Cricetulus griseus: one gene and its partner. The protein of the gene in region 2 purifies or fractionates together with the protein of the main gene of each other region. This does not show direct contact. Links are inferred from orthologs where the notes say so. Each region holds a gene or a part of one and is shown on either strand. Other genes may lie near its edges.

Region 1 (10,449 bases), about 5.0 Mb from region 2:
TGTGGTTCACGTGGCCAGCCCAATGTGAACCAGGCCCCTGGTTGCCTAGCCAGACTTGCACACTGGTGGCCTCAGCTTGGAACCACACTCCCAGTCTGAAAATGTCTGCTTGCCTTGCAGAGGCCCGTGTGAACTGTTCGCTTCACCCTCTGCTTCTGGAAAATTCAGCTTCCTGCCCCAATCTCTATGCCAATTGGGTGGTCATTCTCCTGCTGGTCACCTTCCTGCTGGTCACTAATGTGCTACTTATGAACCTGCTGATTGCCATGTTCAGGTACCCTCCTGGCCACCTGCCCTTACTACATCCTTGCTCCCTTTTCTCAGTGGAGCTGGTTTCAGATGCTGGCAGATATAGGACCTGTGTCCTTAGTAGGAAAAAACCTAGTCCCTTTTGCTGCTGTGTCCAGTCAGCTGACCCTGCAGTAGAGAGCTAACACCCCAGATCTGGGCACACTATGAGCCCACCTCAGCTCAGTGACTGCTCTCTATCCTGCCAGGAAGGAGAGTAAATATACAGGGCCTCGGGCTCGGGGCTGTTTAAAAACCTGCAGTGAGTATGCCCCACTGCAGTACACCTGGAGTCTGTGACCGAGGGGTGCTAGGCCCTTGTCTTAATCTCCTTTCCATTGCTTCGATAAAACTGCCTGAAAGCAACTTAGGGGAAGACATGGTTTATTTCATCTTACACTCCCAAATCACAGTCCCATCACTGAGGGAAGTTGGGGCAGGATCTCAAAGCGGGAAGGAACCACAGAGGAATGTTTTAGGCTAGCTCACTCAGGTTCATGTTTAACTAGATTCCTTGTACAGCCCAAGCCCTCGTGCACAGAGAACCCACAATGGGTTGGGCCCTCCTACATCAATTAATGGTCAATATATTCCCCCATAGACATGCCCATGGGACAATATGATCTTGACAGTCCCTCAATTGTGGTTCTCTTCTCAGTTGACTCTTAGACTGTCAAGTTAATAGTTAAAGCTAACTATGTTAGCCTCCATCTCTGAATTGGGCTCCCAGGACAGGCCAGCTGCCCTCTGGATGCAATGGAGGATGGCATATATGGAGTGGGAGGTGAAGGGTTGAGATGAAGGGTAGGAAGGGGGATACAGGATGGGGTGGCATATGGGGTGGGAGGTGGTGCCAGGTTGAGGTAGGGTGCTTCTATGTGCAGGGAAAGCAGCTTATAAGGCAAGGGCTTGGCCATGTGTCCTGCAGTTACACATTCCAAGTGGTCCAGGGCAATGCTGACGTGTTCTGGAAGTTTCAGCGCTACCACCTCATTGTTGAATACCATGGGCGACCAGCCCTGGCCCCACCCTTCATCCTGCTCAGCCACCTGAGTCTGGTGCTCAAGAGGGTCTTCAGGAAGGAAGTCCAGCACAAGCGTCAACACCTGGGTGAGGCCACAGGCTGGATGCCACTGTTCCTCGGGGTCCTGCTTCCAGAGAAGACTCACAGAAGGGACTGGGTTTCTCATCTAGGCCCTGTCAAGGCTAACCAAAACCCCAGACCCATACTAGACAGCCACAGGACCATCCTGTCTCCTTGCAGCCCCAAATCCCTCCATGGGGTTTATTTTTGCCATCTGCCTTGTGCTCTGCATGGTGGCATCTTCCCTAGTCCCTTGCCACAGCCTGGGCCTGGGCTCTTCCCTAGGGGCCCACATAACTCTCCAAGGTTTGCTGCTGTCTCCTACCTTGCTAGAGAGAGACTTGCCTGACCCCTTGGACCAGAAGATCATTACCTGGGAAGCAGTTCAGAAGGAGAACTTCCTGAGTGCCATGGAGAAACGGAGGAGGGACAGCGAGGGGGAGGTGCTGAGGAAAACAGCACAGAGGTGGGGAAGCCCATGGGACCCCAGATGGCGGGGCATATGAATATGAGTCTCAGGCTAGCAGGTGCCATCATTTCTATCCATGGGCTGCTCAGAGATGTAGAAAGGGCCCTGTCTAGAGGCAGGTGGACTCAGATGCAGTGGGACTGAGTTGACCTTAGTCAGCTGGGTGTTATGAGGGGCAATAAGTCTGGGAGGGGCTCCCAAGTGCAAGCATGTGGAGGTGGGGAAACATCTAGCCTTTTCAGTAATGGGTGGGGTTTTCTGAACTGCCTTAAGGCTGGGTGAGACTCTTCAGTGCCAGTAATAGGACCTCTAAGCTAGGAAACAAGGCTGGGTCACAAGATCCAGCACTCCAGACTCTTGCTCTAGGGGGAGGACTGGGGGGGGGCATTGGGAGCATAAGCCATCTTTGGGAGCATAAGCATTAGGCATCTTTCTGCAATGGGACTCTCCCTTCATCCTCTCTCAAGTCTGAAGATCCACCCCCAGTTGATGCCGGGAGGTGGAGGGGCTGTTCCTGAACACTTGTGGGGATGACCTGCTGTTTCTTCTCTTGCTAGTGGTCTATTCCAAGCAGGGACAGGACCTCAGTCTCTGGGAGTGGGGGTGGTACAGAAGTGTTCTGTATCTGTAGACAGGCCCCAGATCAAGACTGGGAGGAGAGTAGGACAAGAAGAGGCAACAGAATTCTGAGACCCTGAGAAAGCATTTAGGGCAGACAGGCTCCCCCTTGTGGAATGCCATGGAGGAATCACATCTATGGCTGGCCCTACTTTCCACAGAGTGGATTTGATTGCCAAATACATCATGGGGCTGAGAGAGCAAGAAAAGAGGATCAAGTGTCTGGAATCACAGGCAAGCCAACAACCCACTCACTGTCTATTCTTCTTGAGGTGGGGCCATCCTTCTGCTTCTATGGGAACTACCACAGCCCTGTACTAGATTCCTGATGGGTGTGGGCAGGGGATGCCTGTCACTAGAGACACATTTTTCTTCTAGAACTGGTCCAACAAAACCTAGATTTACTAGCACATCCTGTCACCATTCCTTATCATGCACCATGGGGGAGCCTGGTCCACAGTGAGGAGTCCTGGGGCAGCATTAGACCTGGCAGGAGGGGAGTCACATGGGAGGGACTCTGTGCCAAAGTCCAGCATCTCCCTTGTCTCCTTCCAGGCCAACTATTGTATGCTCCTCCTCTCCTCCATGGCTGACACAGTGGCTCCAGGTGGCAACTACTCAAGTAAGTACTGTTCAGGCCATGGGAATGAGGTGGGCATGGGCTCCTTCCTTAGGCCACTGGATTAGACAAGAGCAAAGCTGTAGGCTGTGCATCAGTTCCTGCCTTCCCCACCTGTGCTGGAAGTCCTTGCTGTCCTTGGCAGGCCACCGTGCCTGAGGCATACAGGTGCCTAGGATCAGAGCCGTAATGTCCCAAGGCTCTGCCTACCACTGGTCCTGCTGGACAGAAGCCTTATCACTTTCCATGTCCTGTCCTGTCCCAGCTGGGGCTCCACAGCTGAGGGTCCTTTCTCCCTTCCTTGCTCCCAGGCTCTCAGAACTGTGGTCGCAGGAGTCAGCCAACATCTACTAGAGACAGGGAATACCCAGAGGCTGGCTTGCCACCCTCAGACACCTGACATGGAGGGGCCACCTGTCCTAGAGCCCCAGGCCTTGCCATCTTGGGCTTTTGCGACACATCAACCTTCCCCTACTCCCAGCGACCTCCAGAAATGGTCTTCTAGGGCGTTGCCACAGACCCCTTCTTGAACATCCCTTCCTGTGAAAATGAAACTGTTTCTTGGCACCTATCTGGGAGCTCCAGCGGTGTCTTTTCCAGTAGGGGAAGTTCTTTCAGTCCTTAGTGCTTTCATCGGCTTGGACTGGACACCAGGAACTAGTGAAGGACAAATCTGCCGAGGCAGAGCTACTCGGGTCTAGACCCTGTCTTACTGTTAGTTCCTAAGAAACTGACCTCTTAAACACTAGTGATTTCTTTCTGCCCTCAAGACAAACTCTTCATTATCTGACCAGCTTCTAGAGGACTGGTAATCATCGCCTCCCACCGCTCTGCCCCCACAGCTTATCTGTGTAACCACTGTGGCATTAACGCCAGATACTGTTCAAGGGTACCCTTTGTAGCAGGTTGCTACAAAGCCTGTAGACCACCTCAACTCAGCTACACTGGACCACAGGGATGGCTCAACATGCTTTTCAAACACCCAGGGAACATGGAGTTACCTGACCTATTGAATGGCATCTCTGTTGCTTCCACTGATCCTCAAATCATATGACCATTCAGGCTGATCCTTCCTTTTTCGAGGATACTCAAGCCCTGGAATAGGGACTACAGAGACTAGGGCAGACCTAGTACTTAGTGTACCAGGCTAGCTAACTTGGTTCAGGACCCTGGCCACGGCATGAAGTACTCACTCATGTGTCTTCCCTGCATCCTTCTCTTCCTCCTGGGCTAAGCTTCAGCTAAATGACCTAGCATCAGCCTATTAGCATCAGCAGTGTCCTACACAGAGGTCACAAATCCTGGAGACATACACCCAGGACACCAGCTCTATCTTTAGTTTGGGTGGACACCTGCCCAAACTCCTTCGCTGGCTCAAACTACCCTCTTCCTAAAACTGGTCTGCACAGGCCTAGTGTGGAGGCTGTGCTGGTTTCTGGGGGACAGATTATGTTCGTCCATTACCATCAGGGGTACAAGGCTGGACATGGTTATGAACCCAGTCCCTCTGGGTAGGTTCACTGGTAGCAAATGCAAGGGATCATGGCAAATCTTTACAGCAGTCCCCACTGGAGTGGGGAGAGCAAGATAAGCCAGGTGTAGGATGGAGTCCTGAAGTTAGTTGCCAAGGACTGTTTGGACACATCTTGAATAGGGAGCAGAAAAATCCACAAAATTTAAGAAATATCCCAAACCTTTATTTTTCACCCCAAGAAACGGGGGCATAAGGTCCCACAATTCCCACAGTCCTAGTCAGAGTTGCTTCCCAGACACCCCTTCTACAAATAGCCCACAGCTTCCCACCTGGACTGGGCAGGTGAGGAGGTGGAGAGATAGCACTGCAGTCAAACTGAGGGTCCCCTCTCAGACCCTGGCCCCTCCGGGTTACTGTCCCTGTTCCGGAAGTGTTCTCTGCTCCGCTTCTTGCTGCCATGGAAACCAACAGCCTCCATCCCTGTGGGATCTGATGAGGACCCAGGATGGTCAGCTCCTGAAGGTATCACTGCCTCTTGCAGTCCCTGGTGGCCACTCCACTCCTCAAGCTCAGGCCCTGCCAGATGGGCCAGCTCCACAGATGCCTCACTCACAGCATTTGACACATCCCCCTTCTTTAGGACCCTCTTCCTTTCAGCCCTAGTCTCACTGCCTCGAATTGGTTTGGTAAAGACCACTCTCCCCTCCCCACAGCTAGAGGGGTCCTGGTTGAAGGAAGGTACATAGTCTGTGGGGGATGCCAGGCTGCGAGAACCCAGAAAGGCCAGGGCAGCAGCACGATTGCTCTGCTCACTGACTTCAGTCGCATCTTCCAGGCTGTACTTGGTCCAACGCTCAGGATGTGACACATAATCGGGCACAGGAGGTACCCTGGTTGGGCCCGTACTCCCATGCACCCTGCTCAGGTTCCCTGCTGGAGTCTGACTTGGGGGAGCCACAGGTCGCTTGAAGTTGCCATTTTCAGTCACACTGGTTTGGGGCGCAGAGGGCGGTGCCTGCCGGACTGCACTCTCCAGACAATCAAAGATGCTGTGACTGCGCTGGGAGAAGGTGGAGCTCATGCCGCGGAGGTGGAACGGCTGAACTGCGGTGGTGGGGACGCCCGTGGGGGGCGAGGGAGGCTCATCAGGGCCGGAGTCTTCTTGGGCTTCCCCAGAAATCCTCTCCGGGGACAACACTTGCACCTCAGCACCACTAGGTAAGCTGAGGTCCGAGTCCGAGTCGCTGAGGGAGACGGTGTCAGAAGGCAGGGTGTCATCTTCGGTGGGTTCCTCGGCCTCCAAGCCAGTCTCCGCCTCCGCCATGGAACCCGACCTGTAGCGAAGCAGCCCAGGTTCTGCTGTGAGGGGTGTACTTGGGCAGCTCCCCCCCACCCCCGTTCTCCCAGGCTCCCCCACTTTCACCTCCACTATGTGCCAGGCGCCTCTGCTCGCAATCGGGCGCTGGCTGGTCACGCAGGCGGGCGGAGGCCTCGCGAAGCTGGGTGGCGAATAGTGTGTCCTCGCACGCACTGATGTGGAGCTGCAGTCTAGATAGGGTTAAGCAGAGAGTCAAACCATGAGATCAGAACAGTGCGGACATATAAAGGGTGCGCGCTAGGAGACGCTGGAGACAGAGGCTCTCGACCATCAGCTCGTCTCATCACCGGCTCTCACAGAGCGCAGCCTCTCCGGGTACACACCGCCACCGGAGGCACCACCCGGCTCCGGAGGGAGAGCTGGCAGGGGACTGGCCTGGTCGCACGGTCCTAAGGAGGCCAGCGCTCACCGCTCCACCGTCCCTTCACGCTACAACAGCCAGCTGCCTTTACCGTAGCGTCCCGCCGGTTTCTCGAGGTACGGGCCGTGGCCCCCGCCTACTCTCGCTCGGCTTTCTGGGAAACCGAGTCTCCGGCTGTCTGAATGCTGCAACTTTAGCGGCCAAGGAACTACAACTCCCAGAAGGCAATGGGCCAATGCGTAATGCCTGCCGGGAGGTGTAACCTTTACGTATACGTCATCCCGTAAGACTGGAGCGGACACGGAAATCTACCCGGAAATGACGAAAGAGGAAGAGGCGGAGCCAAGAGCCTCGATTCCCATTGTACATAGGGCCAACTGCTAATCGCAAAGGGTTGAGGCCTCCAGCGCCGCCTGTCGGAAGCCGTCTGAGCAGGGTTCGTCACTGGAAGGAAGTGCGTCACCACGCAGTGCGGGCGTCAACAAGTTTCCTGGTCAGAAGTGGTGCTGATCTGATCTTGTACTCGGTTGGCTTCCTAAAGGGGGCGGGGACTTAAGTCCTAGTTGGCTCTTGGCATCTAGAGACGTGGTGGGCTCTGGATGTTGGATAAGTTGTTTGGGGCTGCAGAGATTCGAGGCCTCTCCTCTAGGCTCTGCCTAGCCGTGCTTGGACACCGACCCCACTATTTAAGGCCACACACAACTCCCCTCTAGGCCCGGGGCTGTCCTCTTTCATCTCTGGGAACCAGAGTCTGAGAATCCACTGGGCTGCTGCACGCTCACTTCCTTCCCTATGTTCTTGAAGCCCTGATAGCCATGCTGCAGTTTTCTCAACAGCCTTGGCCAGGGGCCCACAACATAAGAGTATAAAGTCCTTCAGACCAGCAGCCAACCCAAGCAGGGAACAGGTTGCAAGGGGCGGGAGGGGGGCGGCGGACGGACGATAGTAGAGATTAGGACGCCCTAGGACAAACTTGGGGTTCACTGACAAATCAGCTTACAGGGAGGTTGCTAGGAGCTGAGACCTAAATCTTAGCCACGCTTTCTCTCCTCTAGAGGCCAATTAAATATGCCAGTAGCCTGGGGGAGGGGTGCAGACAGGAGTCAAAGGGAAAGGCAGTAGTGGTGATAGTTGCTGGTGTCCCAAGAGGTTGCTTAGCCTAATCCTCAGTTCATAGGGCTGAGCTGAGTGGGCTGCCATCTTGACTATTATCCCTTGAGACAGGCCAGAGCCACCCAGCTCTTTAGAACATTTCTAAGCACCTAGATACTTGGGATGGGGCAGTAGTCTAACTTTTACTGTATTGTCTTTCAAAAGTGGGATGAAGTGGGAGTTTTTTGTAGCTTATCCCCAGCATTCTGTGTCGAATTTTCCTGCTGCGTGACCTCTCCTACCCGTCTCAGTGTGACTTGGCATGTCCAACAGATGAGTGGAAATGAGGTCAAGGCTGGAATAAGGTCAGCCTGAACTCCCAGTACAGGGAGGTAGAAACGAGGGAGTACTCAGATGGAGTGCTCCCAGGGTCCCTATCCTTCCCACCCATTTTATTCCACAGCCTCTCTTGGACCTGCTCACCCTGTGCCTGGCAAAGTCCAGAGCGGTACCCGTCTCTGACACCACTGGAACAGGAAGAGGTCTGACAGTCCGGTTAGCATGCCTGATTTTCTCCTCCTTTATTAAATGACTGTTTCAGATGTAATTACAGTTGAAGGTGACACGTTAGAAAGAACAGGTGCATTGAAGGCATAAGAGTGCTTACAAACCCAGCTCTTGAAATGGGGACAGGAAAGGGACAAGGATTAAAAAGATGTGATCGATGTGACCCACAGTGGGCAGGGTGAGTGACCATGGCTCTCTAGCTCAGCTACATAGCCTCTGGGCAAGCAGCTGTGGAGGAGGTTTGGCTCAGCAGGCAGGGGTTCCAGAAGTACAGGGCCCTGCAAGCCAGGGCCAGCTCCACCCCTATATCCCCACACTCACCACTGCCACCTATGTGTGATGTCAGCCCCCAAAAGATACCGGGCAAGTTCAAAACAACAACAACAAAAAAACCCTCAAAGTAAAAAGGCTAAGTGTAGCAGAGTAATACAGAAATATATACACAGGCCATGGCCCCCGAGGTGGCCTCTGGTCACTCAGGGGCATGGCACTGCAGGGTCCCTGTAGTACAAAGTGCAGGACCTCAGTACACGGAGCTGTTCCGGATGCCACAGCACAGCACCATGCTCAGAATCATCTCGAAGATCTGCGGGAGGGAGGGGCATTGTCAGCACCTAGGACCTTGGGAGGGGTGGTACCCACCCACCAAAGAGGCCCTGTGCTTACCATGATGACAGCTACCACGATGGCCGCAATACCAATGAGGTACAGCTTCCCAGAAAAGAGCTCATCGATTTTCTGATGGCAATCCTCCTGCAGGGATGGCCAGAGGGTGGTAACAGTCAGTGGCTAAGTCACAGCCACTACCCTACTCAGTGGTGGGGCTTGTCCTGCAGTTTATCTTCCATCCAAAAAATAAACTTAAAACACATGGACCTGCTCTCTTTCTTTATCACAGGATAGTGTTTCTGACCTCACTAGTACCCTAGGGCTTCCAGTATGTGTAAGGGACCACTGGACAGCAGTTTCCCAGGATATTGCAGAGGCTAACGCAGGCTGTCAGGACCCAGCACCCCACTACCTGAGATGTTCTGTGAGCCTTTCTGAGGTCCTGCTGATCTTCCTGGTGGGCCATGTTTACTCTACCTACCACCCAGGATATGATGTCCACCCCCACTCCATGTCACCTTCATCAAGGAGTTGAATATGTTGGTGCCTGAGGGACACAGGCTGTTCTTCAGCACAGAGGTGGTCAGTGCGGTCAGTGCGTTGGAGCCACAGCAGTTGAGCTGCAGAGACCAAAAGCATCACTGTCACCTTAGGAGCCTCAGGAGACAAGGGCAAGGTCAGCACACCATCACCCCCATATACCTGGGAGCTGGCCTTCTACCCTGTTTGTCACACTGCTCAAGAGCCCTGTTCCTCCAAACCCCTGGGCAAATGAGGCCCATTAGGTTCCTGCCTGGGGATCTACAAATCACACAGACCTTTAGCCAGGACCTGTCATGTTGCTGATGTCTGGAAATAGGCAGGACTCATCCCCCAAAGATCACACACACTAGGACTCCCACAACCTGCCCTCCCTGCTCCAGCCTAGCTGTACCGTCTCATGGAAGGTCTTCACCACAGCCTTGGCATTATTGGCATCGTCATCCACCACAGCCTGTTGAAGGGCTTGATCATAGAACTGCTTCACATCCTTGGCGATCTGGGGGAGAATCATAGTCACTTGCAGCATAGGGACTACCATCAAGAGCACTCAGCTTCCCCTGCTGTGCTCAACCTGACACCATCTCTTCTGTTCAGCTCCCAAGACCCTTCTACCAGCAGGCACCAGAAACCCAAAAGGCACCCTGTAACCCATGGGCTCAGAGCGGTTCACTCCTGTTGCCCAGGCAAGGGGCCTATCTCCCTCCCCAGTGAACCTAGGCTCACCTGGTCTTTGTTTACGAAGCCCCAGATGCCAGCAGCCACCTCACAGGCAAACAGGATCACAAGGCAGGTGAAGAACTAGAAGAAAGACGAGAACAGAGCCTTGACCAGCAAGCCCAAGCCCAGCCCTCTATAGGTGCCCACATGACCAACAACTATGTGCCAAGGGAGTTGACCACATCCATCAACCATGTCCTGATTAAGAATGAGCCACACAGAACCATGAAAGATGGGGTCTGATGCAGCTTGGCACCGAGATGTTCAAGTTCTTTGTAGGGAGACACTGTAGCGCGCCCCCCCCCCCCCCAGCCCCGACAGGTGTGCCGGGACACGCCCGTGAGGGCGTGGTCAGGGGAGGTCTAAGGTGATGTGGGAAGAATTCTTAAGGGACTGCGCACACGTGGATAGCCCCTGCTCTCTGGCCAGGCTGCCTTGCTGCCCCTGGCATGCTCTGGCTTGTGTGGGGGCTGGTGTTTATCTGAATAAAGAAATCTTAGCCTTACGGACTACAGATCATCCTTGAGCGCATGCAGCATGCAATAATCTATTGTTCTCAGGGCCCTACCCTGCTCCCTGCTTTGCAGGATGCTGCTTGCACAGGAGATGCAGTAGACAAATCCAAGTGAT
Region 2 (10,089 bases):
CACACGGGTCTTATTTCTCTATGCTTTCTCACCACAAGGGAAGACTTCATCCCAGTAAAACAGGGTTCTACTCTTAGGCCCTTCCCTGGGGATCAGACAATACTAATTCTATATCTCAACAGCACTCCTAAATCCAATGCAAAGTCCAAAGCCTCAGCTAGGGCAAAGGGCCTACTCTCTACAGCCTTTAAACTAGCCCCATCACTCAGCTCACCTCTGGGAGGCTGCCAGCCACTGGGAGTGGGATAATGTTCATGCTTTGGTGGCTGTGGGATTTTGGTAGGGGGAAACAGGCGCTCCACAAATTGGTATTCATCCTCAGACTCCAGAAAGCTGGGGTTTTCATGAGACCCCTGGGTTTGGCTCTAAGGCAAAACAAACCATTTTTCCATTAGTTCACACAACACGGAAGGGCTTTAATAGGTAAAGAATCATGCAGAAAGAATAGACCTGAGCTGGGAAAGAACCAGACTTTTTTCCAGTGTGCAAAAGTATGGGGGGTGGGGGGAACTGGCTGGAAAAACAACTCAGTCTGAATCCCCAGGATTTCTCCAGGATTCAAATGACAAACGTGCATATTCCCCAAAATCCAATTAATCATAAGACGAATCAACATAGTATTCTTCAGTAATTTTTTCTGAACCTGGTGTTGAAACTCTTTAGCTGCGAATATGATGCTTAAACCGATCAGGCACCAAGTGGGAACGTGCAGCTGCTCTCGGTCGGTCCTAACCAACTCGAGCTACGCGGTAGTCACATTCCAAAACCCAGATTGCCTAGGCTCTGCCACCCTGCCCTCTCCAGCCTGCATCTACCCTCAAGTGTCAACCCGAGTATACAGGAAAACCAAGGCCTCGGGAGAGAACGCGGAGCGACAGTGAGGCTCACACACAGCCTTTTGCCCTGTGCTCCGAACTCTCACCAGCTGCCGCGGCCCGTAGCTCCATCGGACGCAGCGCCCCGCGTCCCGCACAGCTGCTCGCAACGCCGCGACCGCCATCTTGGATTGACCCAACTGTGATTGCCATTTGCGCGCGCAACCGGTTCGGCCCCGCCCCCCCTCCTGCGGGCCCCGCCCACAGGGAAAGAACGCCTGCGTAAAGCGTAAGGGGAAAAGACTAGGACGGCGGTGGGCGGTACAAATACTAGCAATCTACGCTGTCGCGCAGCAGTGACGTGACACGCGGCATGCGGTGAGGACGTGCGCGCCCTCGCTTCTTCCTCTTTCTTGACTCCATCTTCGCGGTAGCAGCTTCGGCGTCCGCGGTTTAGGTGAGACTGGGGGACGGCTAAACTTGTAGCGCTCGGTAGCAGGCCGACTGCGGGCTGAGAGGGTGCGGGAAGTCAAGGGACAGGGCTGTTGTGCGGCCTGGTCTCCCAGCCTCATCCAGGTCCCTGGCGAGCTCGGCCTTCCGCATGTGAGGAGCGCAATCTCCCGTCCCCTACCCATCCCCTGATCTCCTTTCTTCTGGGACGCTTCTTCCTTCTCTCAAAGGCCTGTCTTTTTTTCAGTCGCCAACATGCAGCTCTTTGTGCGCGCCCAGGGACTACACACACTCGAGGTGACCGGCCAAGAGACGGTCGCTCAGATCAAAGTAAGTGTATAATGTTCTTTTATCCCCAGACCCGCAGGTAAAACTCCTTTCTCCCCAGTGTGTGCTCCTTTATCCCCAGACCCGCAGGTAAAATTTTCCTTACAAATTATTGGGCTTTTAATTTTTTGTCTGTAGGCTCATGTGGCCTCACTGGAAGGCATTTCCCCGGAAGATCAAGTCGTGCTTTTGGCTGGCTCGCCGCTGGAGGATGAGGCCACCCTAGGCCAGTGTGGCGTAGAGGCCCTGACTACTCTGGAAGTAGCTGGTCGCATGTTGGGAGGTGACTGCTTTTTTACTGTGAACTAATGGAATGTGTGTAGTTATAGAATGTGTCAGCTCATTTCTGTGGCAATACACCTGTGCCTTCTAGAGTGGTACTGAGTTTAACCAGACTGCTTCTCGGGGTCCCCACTAAAATCAAGATCCAAAGTCGTGTAATGGCAGTGTATACCTTTAATCCTAGCAACATGGAAGACAGGCAGGCAGGTCTCTTTAAGGCTAGCCTGGTGTACAAAGCAACTTCCAGGACAGCCAGGGCTACACAGAGAAACGCTGTCAGGAGACAAAAGAGCAATAACAATCAAAATCTGGCTTCCTGTCTTTGTTTTGTATGTAAAATGTTAGCTAAGGATAGTTCTTGCCTTAGTAGTATATACATCAACCCTCAGCACTGAACAGACTGGCCACAGTGACATTGTGGTGGAAACCAACCTGGGATAGCTATTCTGTGGCCTCCATCTCTAATCTGTGCAACTTGGTTTCATTCCTTGTTGGACCCAAACTTGTCTTTGTCCCGTCCCCCCCCCCCCCCCCCCCGTCCCCCCGTTCCCCCGTCCCCCAGGGTTTCCTCTAGCTTTTGGAGGCTGTCCTGGAACTAGCTCTTGTAGATCAGCCTGGTCTCGAACTCACAGATCCACCTGCTTCTGTCTCCCTAGTGCTGGGATTAAAGGTGTGTGCCACCAACGCCCAACTAGGGCGTTGCTTCTGATCTGCCTTTCTTCCTTCCCCACACAGGTAAAGTTCATGGTTCCCTAGCTCGTGCTGGAAAAGTGAGAGGTCAAACTCCCAAGGTGAGTGAGTGCCAGAATTGTTATTTGCACTATTGCAGCAAAATCAAAGACCTTTGGTTTTCCTGTTTGTATTCTCTTTCCTGGAGAGGAATTGGTGGGAAGGATGCCAGGCATGGGAGAGGTGAACCAGGGTCTTACCAGTCAGTCCTTCCCTTTCCCAGGTGGCCAAACAAGAGAAAAAAAAGAAGAAGACAGGTCGGGCCAAGCGGCGGATGCAGTATAACCGTCGCTTTGTTAACGTGGTGCCAACCTTTGGCAAGAAGAAGGGCCCTAATGCTAATTCCTAAGTCCTTCTGTGATTCTTGCACTCTAATAAAGCCACTTTGCCCAGATGTGTTACTGCTTTCATCATTTGTGAGGCCTTAAGAAGAAATAGAACTTTTAGGCTAGTAAAGTGTCTCTTGGCCATTGGGAGTGATAAATGAGAATCTCACCACAGCGGGCAGAAGTGGTGCACACCTTTTAGGCCTAGCACTTGGGAGGCCTGAGTAGATGTAGCAGGTGATCTGAGTTCAAGGCCACCCTGGTCTACATAGAGACCCTATTTCAACCAACCAAACAGGTTCAGTGTTAGGCTGTTTTGGAGAGGCAATGATTAAAGGGAGGGGAGGCCTTGGTTAGAAGGTGAATCGGTTTTTACTGAATTTGGGACCAGCTGTACTATCAATAAAAGTTCAAAACACGGGCTGGAGAGATGGCTCAGAGGTTAAGAGCACTGACTGCTCTTCCAGAGGTCATGAGTTCAATTCCCAGCAACCACATGGTGGCTCACAACCAAACCTTATGAGATTTGGTGCCCTCTTTTGGTGTGCAGATATACATGGAAGCAGAATGTTTTATACATAATAAATAAAATCTTAAAAAAAAAAAGTTCAAAACACAAGGAGCATCGGGTCCCTCGGCATTGGAATTGTCTGATTGCACTGGCATCCTGATCTTGTCTGGCTGAACTTGATCACAACTGTGACTGAGAAGCTGATTAAATGGTTCCACCCTTAGCACCAGGCTTCCACTACACCCAGATCCCATTGCATCTTGGAATGCACCAAGGAGTAAGGCCAAAGAATAGTTGGACACTCCATTCCATTTAAGCTTTGTGAGAGATACTGGTCAAACTGTAAAATGCGCTGCAACCAGTGTCTAACCCATTGTAGACTCTGAATAGTGACTGTCTCAGACTCATTGTTTAGCCATTAGCTTTTTACTATAGTGGGTGTGGGTATTCCCACATTCTTGTTAGGACAGCATTCAGGAGTGTACCAGGGATTTGGAGGCAAATGGTTTTTATTAAGCCCAGGCTAGTTTTGGACTCTTAATATTCCTTTCCCAGCCTCCCAAATGTTACTAGACTACCACATGCTGTGTAGACTACCACACTTGGCCTGAGCAGTGCTTAAGGGTCAAATTCCCAACTCAGGTTCTTTGTAGAGGAAAAGTATGAAACTATGTAGTTTGCGATCCATGCATAGTGGCACATACCATTAATCCCAGTTCTGAGAGGAAGAGGCTAGCCTAGCCTGGTTTACAGCGCTAGTTCTAGGAAAGCCAAGGCTACACAAACCTCTGGTGGCAGTCAGGGGTTGGGTGGGGATGGGTGGCACAAAACAAATACTAGGAATTGAATTTCAATCCAACTTGGAGGTTGGGCTGCCCCAGTTTGTTATATTGATATGTTAAGTATCTTCGGGGCTTCTCTGTGGCTTCGGAGGCTGTCCTGGAACCTGCTCTTCAGATTCTTTGTCATGCCTGGTTTATGATTTGGTTCTTGTAGGGTTTTTATTATTTTGGGGGTATTTTCAAGACAGGGTCTTACTGTAGCTCTGACTATTCTGGAACTCACTGGGTAGACCTGAAACTCAGAAATCGCCCTGCCTCTGGGGACCTGGTGCGGGGATTAAATTAAAGGCGTGTGTCGCTACACCCCTAAGATTCTGGATTTTTTTTGTTGGTTGGTTTTGCTTAAAAGGTAGTTTATTTTTGCACAATTTGGTAAAACCACAGGGAACAAGCTGGGATCAGCGACATTAATCTTCTAACTCTCGAGAGCCACCGTGTTGGTTAGACCTTGGGCGTGTTCTGCGCATGCTCAAAAGGCTACTCTAGAGACGGAAGTTACCGAGAAGGTACGTCGCCCCACGCACAAAGGCGGAAATAACCGAAGAAGCACCGGAAGTGGCGGAGCTACGTCTGCTGTGTGGTGCCCGACACGCGGCGCCAGTTGCCATGGAGCCCGTAGGGCTCTGCGGCTTCTGCCCAGGCGGGGAAGCTTTGCCGGCGCGCTACACCTGCCCGCGCTGCAACGCGCCCTACTGCTCGCTGCGCTGCTACCGGGCGCATGGCTCCTGCGCCGAAGACTTCTACCGCGACCAGGTGCTGCGAGAGCTCCGCGGCCGGAGTGCCTCTCCCAGCCGTCTGGCGGGAGCACTACGCCGGCTACGCGAACAACGGGAGACCGAGGATGAGCCCGAGGAAATAGGCCTCAGGCCCGGCCCGCGGCCGAACGGCCTTTCTGGACTCTGGGAAAGCTTGTCACCGGCTGAGAAGGCGGCGTTCGAGCGGCTGCTGAGCCGTGGCGATGCTGGACGCCTTCTGCCCCCGTGGAGACCCTGGTGGTGGGGCCGCGGGGGTGGCCCGCGATTTATGGAGGAGTTGGATCGTGCCCCGGGCAGGGATCTTTCGGAGCCGGAGACCGCCCCAGAGAGCACCGCGCCCGAATCTGTGGATGATGCCGCCGCGGTGCCTCTTGCTGAAGACTCAAATGCCGCCGTGCCGCCCGCAGTGCCCTCCCGTATCCCAGCGCTGGCCAGCCTGAGCCGCTGCCCGCCCTCGCCACTCGTGCGATTCCAGCTGCCCAATGTGCTGTTCGCCTACGCTCACACTCTCGCCCTGTATCATGGAGGGGACGACGACGCTCTACTCTCTGATTTCTGTGCCACACTGCTCGATGTTTCTGGAGCCCTGGGCGCCCAGCAAGTCTTTGACTCTACGGAGGAAGCCCTGCAGGCCGCAGCCCACGTGCTGGAAGCGGGTGAACACCCACCTGGGCCCTTGGGTACGCGGGGTGCTATGCAAGAGGTTGCTCGTATTCTGCTGGGCGAGGGTCCTATCAACCAGAAAGGCTACACGCTGACAGCACTGGGGCACCTGGCCCAAACCCTGGGCCGAGCCCGGAAACAGGCTGTGGTTAGCGAAGAACGAAATCGCCTTTACCGGGCTCGGAAGAAGTGCCAGTTCCTCCTAGCCTGGACCAACGAAAATGAGGTTGCTCTCACACCACTGGCTCTAGACTGTGCCAGGGTCCACCGAGCCCATGCTGTCACAGCCGAGGAGATGGCAACCCTTACTGGGGAGCTGGAGCGGCTTTGGGGAGGCCCGGTACCACCTGCTCCAAGGACTCTCATTGAGGAGCTCCCTGGCTGAGCTGGGTGTGTGGTATTAATAAAGCTGTCACTGGTCTGTCCAAATGTTGGCAGTACCTTTATTTTCTTCAAAGACAGTACCCTATCCTAGACTTTCCTTGAAGTCACTGTGTAGCTGATGACCTTGAACTTCTGAGCCGAGCCTGCCTCTACCTTGACAGTGCTGGGATTACAAGTGTTAAGTCACCTTGCTAATTTATGCAGTGCTGAAGGTCAAAGGCTTCTTGAATGCTAAGCAAGCATTCTATATAACAACTACATCCCCCAGGCCTGAAGTGCCCATTTCTGAGAGAAACCAGTTGTTCCACGAAGCTACCCTGGACACACAAACCACTTCCCTAGTACAGCTTCCCTAGTCAGCTAGTTCTCTACCTCTCTCCCCCAAATCACTGACCCCAGAATAGAAGAAAAACAAGATTGAAAACATTTATCCAGCAGGGAAAAGTATTTTCATATGGGAGCAGTGGTTCCCTCTTCTTGCGTCAGACTCTGAGGCTGGTCATCCCTGCCAAGTAGAATGGGGTGCAGGCCCTTCACCCCACATGTGTTCAGGCCTGAGCTTGTTAGATGGCTCTGCCTCAGTAGACATAGGGTATGATTCGATAAGGCACACGTTTGCAGTATTCCTGCCAGGCACGGCCATACTTGCGAAGGCACTGCTGCTCATCTCGGGCCTCCCGGTGTACCAGCAATGCAGTGAAGTAAAGGAGGTAGAAGTAGGGCAGCAGGTGAGACACCCCTGTAGGGAAGGGGTTGCATGATGAGACACCAGCACCCGGTGTATAATGGCTTTCTCAGCTAATGACACACAGGGTGACAGGGTTCATCAGTGATACACGGGGTCCATCTCCAGTCACACCAGACTGAGCCTCCCTTCCCAGACCTACTCACCACAGGGCAAGGACCAGGCCAGAGCCATGATGAGGTCTCCCAAGTAGTTGGGGTGACGAACCATACCCCACCACCCAGATACCAGCAGCTGCCGTCCTGTGGCAGTAGGGATGGTTTCAAGACCTGGAGAAAGGTAGCTAATGAACCAGGGAGCCTCAAAGCCTGACCCTTCATCTCACCCATAGTCTCCAGGAGACCCAGCTCACCAGCCACACTGGGGTCAGAAGGATTCTTCCGGAATGTGTTTTTCTGGGAGTTAGCACCACGGAAGATGTAGTAACCAATAACTGAGAGAAAGTATGATCAGGTAGTGAGATGAAGTCCAAGCCTTCTTCCTCGCCCTGACAACAAGCCTGTCCAAATCCCAGGCTCTGTTATGACACCCAGGGGGCCAGCTCCCAGCTTTAGAGGAGCATCAGAGCCTGGGATCTACCTAATGGGCAGTGAATGAAGTATGAAAGAGGGAGGGGAAATGAAGGCCCTCCTACTGACCCTTAATAAGGCAGATGAGCAAGGCCATGGGCAACCCCAGAGGCTGTGGATGGTATAGCAGGAACTGGGCCTGCAAGCTGTAGGTGAAGGGTACCCAGGCTAGGTCTCCAAAGGCCAGCATGAAACCAAATCCATCATGTATTATGTCCATGGTGGTGAGGACAGACTCCTGCAGGGACAGGACCCAGACACACTGGCTTAGTCCAGATGACATCTTCAGGATCCCTTTCTCACCTCCCCTTCCAATCCAGCCTCACCTCATACCAGAGGGCATCACCCACATACAGCAACTGGAAGGCATTGACCAGCCACATGGCCAGTGAAGGACTCCCCCGTAGCTCTGCCTCCTGTATCAGCAGGGCCAGGTTAATAAAAACCTGAGGGAAGTGGGGACAGGGCCATTGTCTCTGAGTGGGAGCATCAGAGTGGAAAAGTGTCAACCTCTCCCCTCCCTCAACTGTCAGTTCACATGTTGAATGAATCTAGGTCGAAGCTGCCTATACTTAAAACTCCTGCTTTTGAATCTGAGCTTTGCCACTTGGGCAGAGTATATATCCTTGCTGAAGCTCACTTTCCCACTGCCATGTGGAAAATGGGGATAAGAGCCCTGTCTTGCTGTTTAAAGAAAAATATAATGCTTGCAGAGCTGAGGATTAGCTTGTCGTGAACCTGTACTTTGTACCCTTGTTTTAGTAGTTCCAGTGGACTAGGTAGCTTCTTCAGTAATACTGACATAGTACTTTCATTAAGGGTACCTCTAATTAAAAAAAAAAAAAAGTCTCACTAAGTAGCCTTGATTGGACTGAAAATGTGTACAACCAGGCTAACCTAAAGTCATAAAAATCTACCTGCCTCTGCCTCCTAAGTGCTGGAATTGAAGGAGTGTGCCACCACACCCAGCCCTCACAGTAATTGTAGAAGAAAACTTCATCCCATCCTGTTTCTTCAGTGAGAAAATAACCTTAGAGTCTGGTATGTGTGTAGGCAGGCCAATCTCCAGATCCTTGGAGGGACCAGGCCAGGTGGGGTTACAATAACTAATCCTAGTTACTTAAGTAGGTGAAGAAAGTGGAGGAGACATTGATAGCCAGGGCTATCCTAGTGAGACCTGTTTCAAATCCAAACCAAACCCAAACTCAGATTCATAGAGGTTACTTGGCACTCCTGCCTCTGGGTAAGATCTCCAAGATGAAAGCAGGGCCTTGCCTGAATCTCTTTGGAACTCTTCACCACCGTCCATGTCTGTGTGATCTTAGCCCAAGAACAGCTGCTGTGTTGTTAGGGCCACCAATGACAAACAATCCACTGGAGGCACAGAGCTGCCTTGCCCTTCAAGCAGCTTGGTCATTGTCTTTGAAGTCAGTTTTGTACTTGAGCACTGCATCCAAATCTTCACTTTATTGCTATGTATGCCATATATATTTAGTTTTGTGGTGCTAGGGTTGGAATTGAGGGTGTGTGTGTGTGTGTGTGTGTGTGTGTGTGTGTGTGTGTGTGTGTGAGCCAAATGCTCTCTACCTTTTTTTTTTTTTTTAAAGATTTGTTATTAAGACCCCTCTTGATCTTAATACTAAAGCAAAACCATGACTTCATGCCAAAACAACATATTGGCAAATGAATGATGATTGCTGTCCACCCAGCCATGCTAGCCCACCCTGTCCTTCTCCTGGCCCAAGACCAACATAGTTAAACCCAGCATGCCCAGCATACCCAGCCGATGAGGCCAGGCCTCAGCTCACAGAAATATTTGAAGTCAAAGGAACCAAGGCGAGGGTTTAGCTCCCGTCCCAGAAAGAAATCATAAATGCAATTTCCTGGGGGAATAACAGAGAGTGAAGGCACAGTTAGGCATCCCATATGCCTCACCCCTACCTCATTGGGACCCTTCTCACCTGAGTTTCCTCCAGGTGCCAGGGCTGAGACAGGAGCTGCCAAAGCCTTCATATAGAGAAGGAGGCTGAAGATGAAGCTGGTGAGAGTGGTCGCAAAGGCCAAGGGCAGGAGCATTTCAGGGAGTGCCCCCAGGGGCAGCCCAGCTGACACCCCTAGCCCCACCAACAGGGCTGTTAGGACCAGAGCCTGGAAGCCTGAACCACAGCAGAGTGAGTTTTAGAATTGAATACATCCACAACTAACACACACACACACACACACACACACACACACACACACACACAACTAACACACACACATCCACACACACAAACACACACACACACACACACAACACACACACAACACACACACACACACACACACACACACCCCCTAGAACAGAGTAGCAGCACAGAGAGATTCCCATAGGGAAACGTGTCGTGTCAACAGAGCTAGTCCCGAGATCCCACCCCAACCCGTGTAACCAGGAGGGAGGACCCAGGCACCATTAATAGGGTAGCGCAGGCGACTCTTGTCCTTTAGTTCCAGCCCTTCGGCCACCTACGGATATAGGAAACGTCTTATAAGAGTTGGGGAGGCCTTCTGCCTTCCCTGTCCGCTCCACCCGGTGTTAGAACGGAGCTCACACCTTGCGCGCAGGCAGCAGATAGAGCGCCACCTGCAGGGCGAGCCAGATGAACAATAGCAGCAGAGCCTGTGGACTCCACAGCTCCTCCAGCCCCGGCA

What was found. Proteins that work in one complex are often made in the same cells at the same time.
Region 1: the proteins of Znhit2 (region 2) and Tssc4 purify together in Homo sapiens (affinity purification with mass spectrometry; 3 studies listed by BioGRID and IntAct, counting the BioPlex papers as one, with this or other methods). This does not show direct contact. The link is inferred for Cricetulus griseus from reciprocal best matches to the Homo sapiens genes ZNHIT2 and TSSC4.

The regions. Positions count from the first base shown.
Region 1 is NC_048596.1:58,312,133-58,322,581, forward strand, and holds Tssc4 (protein TSSC4), read right to left. Parts: upstream 6,528-10,449; 5' UTR 6,383-6,527; exon of another isoform or gene 6,254-6,382; intron 6,101-6,253; 5' UTR 5,976-6,100; intron 5,887-5,975; 5' UTR 5,877-5,886; coding exon 4,923-5,876; 3' UTR 4,754-4,922; downstream 1-4,753. Other genes in the region: Trpm5 (transient receptor potential cation channel subfamily M member 5), read left to right, coding at 121-274, 1,217-1,398, 1,706-1,838, 2,621-2,693, 3,015-3,081, 3,390-3,478; CD81 antigen, read right to left, coding at 8,474-8,536, 8,617-8,703, 9,078-9,179, 9,494-9,598, 9,826-9,900. UniProt on the Homo sapiens protein: Protein associated with the U5 snRNP, during its maturation and its post-splicing recycling and which is required for spliceosomal tri-snRNP complex assembly in the nucleus.
Region 2 is NC_048596.1:53,286,165-53,296,253, reverse strand, and holds Znhit2 (zinc finger HIT domain-containing protein 2), read left to right. Parts: upstream 1-4,652; 5' UTR 4,653-4,888; coding exon 4,889-6,085; 3' UTR 6,086-6,129; downstream 6,130-10,089. Other genes in the region: Mrpl49 (39S ribosomal protein L49, mitochondrial), read right to left, coding at 215-365, 923-1,000; Fau (40S ribosomal protein S30), read left to right, coding at 1,521-1,595, 1,731-1,875, 2,610-2,665, 2,827-2,952; delta(14)-sterol reductase TM7SF2, read right to left, coding at 6,663-6,823, 6,976-7,098, 7,182-7,262, 7,468-7,636, 7,725-7,844, 9,178-9,554, 9,849-9,903, 9,992-10,089. UniProt on the Homo sapiens protein: May act as a bridging factor mediating the interaction between the R2TP/Prefoldin-like (R2TP/PFDL) complex and U5 small nuclear ribonucleoprotein (U5 snRNP).